Linked DNA regions of Rattus norvegicus. Each later gene encodes a partner of the first gene's protein in a complex. Links are inferred from orthologs where the notes say so. Each region holds a gene or a part of one and is shown on either strand. Other genes may lie near its edges.

The links.
Region 2: the proteins of Tapbpl (region 1) and Mr1 are in contact, whole or in part, in an NMR structure (PDB 7RNO), measured with the Homo sapiens proteins. The link is inferred for Rattus norvegicus from reciprocal best matches to the Homo sapiens genes TAPBPL and MR1. Residues at the interface, in NP_060479.3 of Homo sapiens: His47, Arg48, Gly49, Ala50, Ala52, Ser53, Ser54, Leu129, Met131, Thr132, Glu133, Thr135, Arg228, Gln230, Lys232, Gly233, Arg234, Gly235, Thr280, Ile282, Gln293, Ile295, Gln297, Arg307, Leu308, Ser309, Ile320, Cys321, Asp322, Leu355; in NP_001372090.1 of Homo sapiens: Arg101, Arg104, His105, Asn107, Thr129, Gly130, Phe131, Leu132, Gln133, Ile143, Phe144, Asn145, Asp147, Thr148, Leu152, Ala153, Val154, His159, Thr160, Lys162, Gln163, Ala164, Ala167, Asn168, Gln169, His170, Thr213, Phe214, Pro215, Asp248.

Annotation. Positions count from the first base shown.
Region 1 is NC_086022.1:159,711,889-159,716,754, forward strand, and holds the start of Tapbpl (tapasin-related protein precursor), read right to left. Parts: upstream 3,250-4,866; 5' UTR 2,918-3,249; coding exon 2,854-2,917; intron 2,152-2,853; coding exon 1,921-2,151; intron 1,790-1,920; coding exon 1,517-1,789; intron 1-1,516. UniProt on the Homo sapiens protein: Component of the antigen processing and presentation pathway, which binds to MHC class I coupled with beta2-microglobulin/B2M. Association between TAPBPR and MHC class I occurs in the absence of a functional peptide-loading complex (PLC).
Region 2 is NC_086031.1:69,864,815-69,869,855, forward strand, and holds the start of Mr1 (major histocompatibility complex class I-related gene protein precursor), read right to left. Parts: upstream 3,353-5,041; coding exon 3,298-3,352; intron 1-3,297. UniProt on the Homo sapiens protein: Antigen-presenting molecule specialized in displaying microbial pyrimidine-based metabolites to alpha-beta T cell receptors (TCR) on innate-type mucosal-associated invariant T (MAIT) cells.

The DNA.
Region 1 (4,866 bases):
AACCCACGGTCTTCATGCTTCTGTCTCTCCGGCGCTGGGACTGCAGATGTGTACAACCACATCCAGCCTTACTAGTCAATTCTTCCCATGAATAGAACACTACTCAGTTCTATATGCACTGGACCCCCTTGTTACTGTGACTAGAGCGCTCCCTGCCTCGATATGCTTCTCAGGTCATTGGTGATTGTGAAGCAGAATGGCCTTGACTTTCAGCTATCAGCTATAACTGCACATGGGAGCATTTGGGGGTGAAATATTGTGGCTCCTACAGCCTAGTCAGTTCAGGGGAGAATATCTATTTTAGTGGAGGCAGAGAGGAACTGTGACCATTGTTAAACTAGGTCAGGAATAAGTCAAGGCTGTGTGGATGCATGTGTTTTATTTGTAGATTTGAATAAACTCAAAAAGGGAGCAGCACTAAGCCATCTATGGCCTAGGACAGAGACCCTGGAAATCTTTTCTGACACAAATGGCAAGGCACATTTAGAAAGGGCCTCAGAGCTGGTGGGTGTGGTAGTGTATGCCTGTACCATCAGTTACCAAGGAGGCATGACAGGACCACAAGTTCCAGGCCTGCCTAAGCACATGGATGAGACCCCTGCCTCACAATAAAACTTCACAATAAAAAAGGAGTTGTAGCTGTAGTTCAGCGGTAGAGCACGTGTTTAGCACAAGGCTCTAGGTTCAATCCTCAGTATGGGACAAAATAATACTAAAGGCTAATGTTTTAGGGGTTTGCAGGGATAGGAGAGGAGCACCCCCATCTTCATCTTCTGTGGACCTGTTTCTCCTTTTCAGAGGTAAAATATCGAACTGGACTCTCCAGATGCCTGTCATCGTGTTCTCTCTCTTGAACCTGGCAGGAGGCACTAAGTGGGAGAGGGATGAGGACTGGGACTCATAGCAAGCGGTACTGAGCACACCTGTCTCCCTGTGCTCTGCTGAAACCGCCTCCCTTTCCCTGGGAGGAGACAGGGTTTGGCTAAATAAGAGTGCAGTGACAACGTGCGTAGTAGACACAGTGTCCTCATGTGTCCTTCCCCACGACAGCACAGTGAGATAAAAGTCATCTCCATTTTGATGGTTGTTAAGTTTTGACCCTTGCTCCAGTAAGGATCTCAGCATGCCCTCTTCCTGACTCGGGATATTTTAGAAAAGATGAAGGTCTATTAGGGGACCTCAGGAGGACCTACGTGATATTTGTTTTTCTTCCTTCTATCCTGTCTCTCAACACAAAACAAAGCAAAATCAAAAAACAAACAAAAAACCAAACCAAAAGACAACTCTTGGAGCTACTGAAATGGCACAGTGGGTAAAGGTGCTTGCTGCCCAGCCTCGTGAACTACTTCAATCCTTGGAACCCACATGGCAGATCCTACAAATTGTCCTCCGATCTCTACCTCCGCACGCGCACACACACACACACACACACACACACACACACACACACACACACACTAATAAAAAAAATCTTCCTAAGAACTCTTCCTTGTGCCAGTGCATTTCGTTTTCTCACCTTTAGTCTTCACTGTGCCCTGGGGGCTCAGGGGTATGTTCAGCGAAGGGTGCCGGACAGCTCCAGCTTCATCATCTCTTAGAGTCTTCATCACTATGGAGACACTGGGCCCCCCTCTAGAAACCTGCATGTTGCTGATGAACCAATCTGCTTTCTCAAAAGTGGCCTCTTGTCTGGCCTGGAGGAAATACTGGGCGATCTCACAGGTCACCGCCTTCCCGCTGCAGTCAGCGTGGAGCAAAGCCTCTGCCTGGGGAATCTGTACCAAGTCCACTGCGGAGAAAGACAGCGCATGGAGGTGATGTTGGATACACAACGCCAGGCAGTGGGGAGGCAGGTGTGGGTAGATAGGACTGGGAGCTGGGTTGTCCCTATGGAGGAAGCCTAGGATGAGGGGCTTTTACCGGACGCCTCAAAGATAATCGGTGAATCTTGTCTGGCCTCTGCGCTCCCTTGGAAATCTGTGAAGCCCTCCAGGGAACCATCATCCAGCACCGGCACCTGCTTCAGTACAAGCAGGGCCTTCTCCCTGTCCTCACTGCTGCCAAAAGCCCCGCGATGCTTGTCTTCTGTCACCAAGAAGCAGTCTAAGACGATGTCCACGGCCTGCCACCGTCTTTCTTCTGTCGGGGGGTCTACAGGGAAAGTGAAACAAGCACCCTCTTCCACACTTGCTTCCTACCCCTTTACCAAACGCAGGCTGATCATCAGGTAAGGTTGCCTTCTGGGTCCCGCCGTCTTGGTGTCATTATCATCTACAAACCGAGCTTCTGGAGAGGCACCTGCTACTCAGACTGCGACTCTGAGTTGTTTCAAGTTCTAGATCTGTCCTGCTCAAAGCCAGAGAGATTTATGATTTTATATTCCTGGACTTCAACTGTGGGAATGCAAGGAAATTTCTTGAAAGAAATTCTCAGGTTTAAAAAAGGGGAGAGAGAAACTGGAGCACTTATTGTTCCTAGGAACACTGACAACCATTTTCTCACTACCCAACCTTCCCAGAGGCCTCTGCTTTCCGCCATGGCCACGCCCACCAGGAGTTACCTCCCAAGTGATTTCTTAGCCTGGGGAGCCCCTTCCTCTTCTAAGGGTTCAACTCAAGGCAGTGAGCTCTCTCCCAGAATGGTAGCACCCTGCCTTTCCACAAAGGAAGCCTCTTTTCTGTGAGTTCTCTGTCATACCCCTCTCCAAATTGGTTCCTCACATTTCGAGTGCCACACTCATTTGCGAGGCTTAGTAGGCAAACTTGCCGTTCTGAGTAGGTGACTTCCTGGGGCTTCTTTAGCTCAGAGCTTCCTCTCCCCTCCCCCAGGCCCCAGCCAGGTCTCCTTACTCACCAGTCCCTGCCGCCCCAGAGACAGCCAAACAGAGCAGCAGACACCAGCTGGGCTCCCAGCCCATGGAGGCTGCTCTCGGGCGATTCCTCGCTGGCTGCCTTCTCCACAGTTCCCCTGCTAGAGATCTCTGGCTGAAGAGGGGGTTCTTTGAGCAGCCTCACTTAGTACCTGTGTTCTCTGTTCTTACTGGTTTCTCTTTCGCTTTCACTTCAACTGCCTCTGTGACCCGAGGCCAGAAACAGCAGTAGCCAGAACTCTGCTCCCGGTACTCCCTTTTGTCCACCCTGCACCCAAGAAATCCCCAGAAGGTTTCAAAAGCTGGTATCACCACATCAGGTTTCCCATCAGCCCCAACTATGAGAAGGCTGGAGAGAGGGTGGAGCCAGAAGATAGATTCCCCTGTGATCTATCTTGGCCCTTCTTTTCAGTTTTTGCGAGATCCTTTTGGTCTGCCCTGGTGACAACTCCCTGCTCAGATCCTTAATCCCATGGAGGAGATGGGGCGTGGCCTGGTTGTGGGATTGGAGGCTGGATGTGAAGCTACAGTGTAAGCCTCCCTTTAATTGTATTCGTGTGTATGTGGTATACACATGTGTGGGGATGAGTGTTCCTGTGTATGTGGTATACACATGTGTGGGGTGAGTGTTCCTGTGTATGTGGTATACACATGTGTGGGGTGAGTGTTCCTGTGTATGTGGTATACACATGTGTGGGGTGAGTGTCCCTGTGTATGTGGTATACACATGTGTGGGGTGAGTGTCCCTGTGTATGTGGTATACACATGTGTGGGGTGAGTGTTCCTGTGTATGTGGTATACACATGTGTGGGGGTGAGTGTTCCTGTGTATGTGGTATACACATGTGTGGGGGTGAGTGTTCGTGTGTATGTGGTATACACATGTGTAGGGGTGAGTGTCCCTGTGTATGTGGTATACACATCTGTAGGGGTGAGTGTTCCTGTGTATGTGGTATACACATGTGTGGGGGTGAGTGTTCCTGTGTATGTGGTATACACATGTGTGGGGATGAGTGTTCCTGTGTATGTGGTATACACATGTGTGGGGTGAGTGTTCGTGTGTATGTGGTATACACATGTGTAGGGGTGAGTGTCCCTGTGTATGTGGTATACACATCTGTAGGGGTGAGTGTTCCTGTGTATGTGGTATACACATGTGTGGGGGTGAGTGTTCGTGTGTATGTGGTATACACATGTGTGGGGTGAGTGTTCGTGTGTATGTGGTATACACATGTGTGGGGTGAGTGTTCCTGTGTATGTGGTATACACATGTGTGGAGATGAGTGTTCCTGTGTATGTGGTATACACATGTGTGGGGTGAGTGTTCCTGTGTATGTGGTATACACATGTGTGGGGGTGAGTGTTCCTGTGTATGTGGTATACACATGTGTGGGGGTGAGTGTTCCTGTGTATGTGGTATACACATGTGTAGGGGTGAGTGTTCCTGTGTATGTGGTATACACATGTGTGGGGGTGAGTGTTCGTGTGTATGTGGTATACACATGTGTAGGGGTGAGTGTTCCTGTGTATGTGGTATACACATGTGTGGGGTGAGTGTTCGTGTGTATGTGGTATACACATGTGTGGGGGTGAGTGTTCGTGTGTATGTGGTATACACATGTGTGGGGATGAGTGTTCCTGTGTATGTGGTATACACATGTGTGGGGTGAGTGTTCATGTGTATGTGGTATACACATGTGTGGGGTGAGTATGCCCAGCCGTGCTCGTGTGTGGAGGAGACTCAGTGAGGGCAATGGTGTCTTGTTCTATTACTCCGCCTTATTCTTCAGAACCTGAACCGCCTTATTCTCTCTGAACCTGGAGTTGTTTGGTGGCCAACAAGTACAGTGCTCTCCTGTTGTCTCCACTCCAAGCGCCGCCCTTGCCACCTAACCCCTTGAATTACAAGCTCACAGGGCCACCCTGAGGGCTCATTTGTTTCATATGCAGGAGTGGGTGTTTGAAGCTAGCATTCACGGTTCATGCCTTCTTCCCAGC
Region 2 (5,041 bases), on another chromosome or scaffold:
GAACTCCTTCCTTCAATTTTTAGCAGTCCTCCAGGATAAGAGGATTGTGGTCAAGCAAGAATAGATAGCTGTTCTCCCTAGTTAAGAGAAAAATCTGGGCTATATAGATGGCTCAGTGGTTAAGAGCACCGACTGCTCTTCCAGAGGTCCTGAGTTCAAATCCCAGCAACCACATGGTGGCTCACAACCATCTGTAATAGGATCTGATACCCTCTTCTGGTGTGTCTGAGGACAGCTACAGTGTGCTCACATACATAAAATAAATAATATCTTTTTAAAAAAAATCTATCAAAACTAGATACATTCAATATCAATTTTGAAGAAGAGGGCCTTAGGGGAGTGAAGCATTGTCTTGGAGAAATTTCTCTGGCATGAACCTGGGTAGGAGCACCTTGGAAACAGACTGAAATCTAATTGCCCATATTTTCTCATGCCAGCTATTTGAACTTAAGGTTCTCTCTCCCTCTTCCTCCCCATCTCCCTTCCCCTCCCCCTTCCCTGCTTTCTCCTGCCTCTCCCTCCCCCCTCCTCTTTGGGTTTTTTTGTTTGTTTGTTTGTTTTGTTTTGTTTTGTTTTGTTTTGTTTTGTTTGAGACAAGGTTTCGCTGTGCAGCTCTGGATGTCCTGGAACTCACTCTGTACACCAGGCTGGCATCAAACTCAGATATTCACCTGCCTCTGGCTCCCAAGTGCTGGGATTAAAGGCATGCACCACCACTACCCAGGTCAAGGTCATTTCTAAGCAGATAGCCTACAAGGATATCTTCTAACACTAACACAACTGATTATGGAATCAGTCCTTGTCTCTGAAGCATCATTCATGAAGTAGATTGATGTAGTGGGCTAACTCCTCTATTAAATTATGAATGCCATCAAGAGACTAACTTTGATTATATCAAGATGAAACACACGAACTATATATAGCTTTGCAAGGGAAATCTCATGCCTGGTGTCCCATATTGATCACCGAGACACATATCACCACCTCATTTTCACACCAGCTGAAATGAAGAGCAAGGAGAAGGACGGTAAAAGCACAAAGCACCAATTTTTACATCAGTTCTGCAACTACACAGTTTTACATTTGAATTCATTGTCATTGTCCAAGTGTGTTATACTTCATAATCAGGTGACTTCAATGTCTTAGGGACATTACTTTGAAACATCATGTTTTTAGGAAGCGATCAAGTGTCTGTTGGAAACGAGGTCACAAAAATGGAGTCGTCTCTTCCCACCTGTAAAAAGAGCAGCTAGGGGAAGATTTGAGGAACTGAGAAAACCGTGAAGAGGAGCTATGGGAACTCAAAGGAAGGAGCAGACGCAATCACCTGTGAGCCACGCTGCTGCTGCTGCTGCTGTGAGGAACCTGCTGGATGTAATGTGAGAATTATCTTAACATTTCCTGGAGCTACCTCTCAAACGCTCTGGCTTCTCTTCCCTGTGTCCCCCATCCATCCATGGTGTAAAAGTATCTGTTTATGGGTAACACTGGGCACAAATATCATGTAGACCTTAAGTTATTTTCTGTAAATCTGAAATCCCTTCCCTGCCATTGCCCTCAAAGTTCATTTAGTGAGAACCATGGGAGGAAACAGCCTTTACCAGAGAGGTCCCATGGAGAGACCATAAGGAAGCAACAATAATAAACCATGCTCACCCCTAAGATTAGAGGGAAACGGACAGCAAATAAGAATTACTGAAGCCCAGCGGAAGCTAAAACTATAAAGAAAAGGGATTTTCAGAGAAAAGGGAAAACAACCCACATTGCAGAGAACTACAGAGAGCTACTGCCAGAGACTCCTTGAAAGAAGGAGGGGGCAAGAAAAGCAAACTTCAGTCTCTCCTTTCTCCATGTTCTTGTCTCTTCTCCCAGCATTTCCTACCAAGTGAACCAGGACAGAAGCTAGGACTGGGTGATGCGGTCTGTAGCTATCCGCCTCCGGAACACAAAGCAACACAGCAGGAACACGTCTGAGGGGTCAGAGGAAAACAACCAGCAAAGAGCAGCACCCCACTCTATAACAGCCCACAAATTATCTACATACAGGGTACTCAGAAGTCCAGTGGTAGGTATCACAGAAACAACTGGACTAAAGGCAGAAATGTTGCACTTTTGATCACTATGCCAGAAGGTTCTGCAATCTCCTTAAGCCAAAGAAACATCTAACCTCATCTTTGTTTGTTGGTTTCTTTGTTTCTTTTTCTTTTCTTTTTTTCTTTTTTGAAGCAGGCTCTCATGCCACTCAAACTGGCCTCAAACTCACCATCCCCTCCCCCCTTTAGAGTAGCTAGGATTGTAAGTTTGCATCACCATATCCATATCCAGTTGTTATATTCCTCCAGTCAGCTGGCACGTAGCAAGCTATCAATCAATACTTGTAGGATTAACACACAGACGATTTGAAAGAGTTCCTTCCTGGCATGAGCATTAGTCAGCAGCTTGGGCGGCCTGGTCTAAGTTCTGTAATTCTTCTGTGAACCTAGAGACCCACTAACGTTTAGAAGCACTAACGGCTTGCCAGCAGTTGCTTAGAGAAGTAGCGAAGTCTGGTACTTTGTGTCACACCGACTCTCCTGTGTTTGTGGCAACACAGGGCTCCGGATTCCCTAGAGACACAAGCTCCCTAAACTACAATGAACTTGGAGGATTTTTAAAAAATGTTTGTTTATTTTAATTATTATTTATTTTTACGTACTTTGGTGTTTTGACTGCATGTGTGTCTATGTTAGGATGCAGGATCCCCTGGAATTGGAGTTGCAGACAGTTGCGAACTGCCATGTGGGTGACCTCTGGAAGAACAGCCAGAGCTCTTAACCGCTGAGCCATCTCTCCAGTCCCAGAACTTTTGTTTTTAATCAATGAATATTTCCTACACCTAGAAAACAAGCTCGGAGGCGTGGCTTTATCTTTCTTGCGTCTTTTGTTACAGGTAGTCCTTGTCCTGAGGAGGGAAAAATATCTATGGACCTGAAGAATGGACAGACTGCACTGTTCAACTCCCCTGAAACTCACTACAGTCCCTAGTATAAGGCTCATTGTTAGAAAAGAGGAGAAACAGAAGGAAAAGTAAGGGTATAGCAGAAGAGTGGGGAGACAGCTCTCAGGGGGAAGTCTTTCTGGACAGGCTAGCATCCATGCACACACGTCTGGGCAGCAGGCCAACTGGTACATCACCCTTCAAATCTTGGGTCCAAAGGACCTGTGGATTTGCCCCTGGCTTTTTCATAGCTTGCACCACAAGTTTAGGAAGCGAACCCCTCGATGCACTTGGAAGCAAAGAGTACATGGGATACTTACGGGTATGGCTTTGCTTCGCCAAAAATACTGTGAGGAACGGTAGCAGGAACATCATCAACCCCCACTGAAGTCCTTTTCTTCCCATTTTTTTTTTTTAAACTTCAGATAGTGACAGGCCCCTGATGAATCTTTTGTGAGAACCTGTACTCACTCTACCGGTTTACTAGAAAATTTGGTAACTGAGCAATGAGGGCGGGGCGGGGACGCATTCTCCAATAAGAACTGGGAAAAATATCTTGTGTCACTAGTTGCTAGGGAGAATAGAGACCTACAAAATGAAAGCAATAAACTTTAACTCCTTGTTGGTTTCAGGCACGGCTTGCTTCTTTCCACCCAGTTCCCAACTGTTGCTCAATTACTTGAAAGGTATAGGGAAGCAAAGATTAATAACACAGATAATTTATTGCCTTTGGTTCTTTCTTGGAGTTTAGATTTTTAACTAAGGGACAAAGAAAATCGCACCGAGTTCCAAGATTTGGAACTCCCCGCTCAGTATGATTTTCCCATCCATCCGTCTCGGATAGCACGTACCATTTAGATTGTCCTGTAATATTTTACTTATGTCTGTCTTCCCTGTACTTTTGTTTACCTAGAACAATAGGTCCCAAACATCCCCACTGAATAGGGAGAAGAAAAGTCCTGTGGGAGATGCTGAAGGGTTACCACTCATCTTTCAAGGAAAGCAATCTCCAAGAGCAAGCTATGGTCACATTGTTGTTAGAAGCACATGACGAGTTAGGAAACAGCAGCTAAGGCTGTTCAGGGAGCTAGGGAACAGGTTTAAACAGGAAAGAGGAAGTACAGCCGAATAGAGAGAAGAATGAAGACAAGGCAGGGAGGCAGGCAAGCATCCTTTGGCTGGGGTTCAGGGACCGAGGTTTGATCCCAGCTCTTTGACACGGGGCAGAATCTCTACCATGGTCGGGCATCTTCCACTTGAAAAGAAATCTACCATGTATTTATTCCACAGGACTGTTGAAAGACTCGGTGAGGTTGTTTATGCACAAAGAGGGGCTAGGAGAATCAAACATCCTGTTTTTCTTCAGTGGTGAGGGGAGTGATGGCCCACTCGGAAGCTCAGAGCCTGTAACTACAGCACACTTTCTATGACAGAAGAGACTTTGCAGGTTCTGTTGGTTTAAAGACGGAGAGATGGAGAGATGATCCTGGACCATCTGCCAGAACCAATATAACCACGAGGGTCCCCATTACAGGAAGGCAGAGGGTCAGAATCTGAGAAGGAACTGTGAGAGCAGATGCATTGCTGAAATGGGGGTGAGCCAAGGAGTGTGGGTGGCTCCCGACCCTGGAATGAGAAGGTTACAGGCCCTACCCCAGAACCTCTAGAAAGAATGCATGTATCAAAACTTGTTTGGTTTTTGTTGTTGTTGTTGTTGTTTTGTTGTTGATGTTTTGTTTTGTTGTTGGTGGTTTTTGTTTTGTTTTGCTTTGTTTTTCCCACATAAGGCCTGTCTTCAGAACTTCCGCCTCCTAAATTATTGGAGAGGAAATGTATATTGCTTGCAGCCACCTAATTTTTATGAGAATGGACAACTTTTAGGCATGTCTTCCTTTCCCCACAAAGACTCAAAGAAGTTACCTGATGACCACTCCTCAGAGGCTTGTATCTGTTTCCCTTTCCTTCCTCTTTTGCTTTATTCCCTTGGTTATTCATCTAGCAAATACAGGCACCCGTGTGCCCCTCCCAGACACCCCTGTTACTGCTCAATGATGCTTGCCTTCC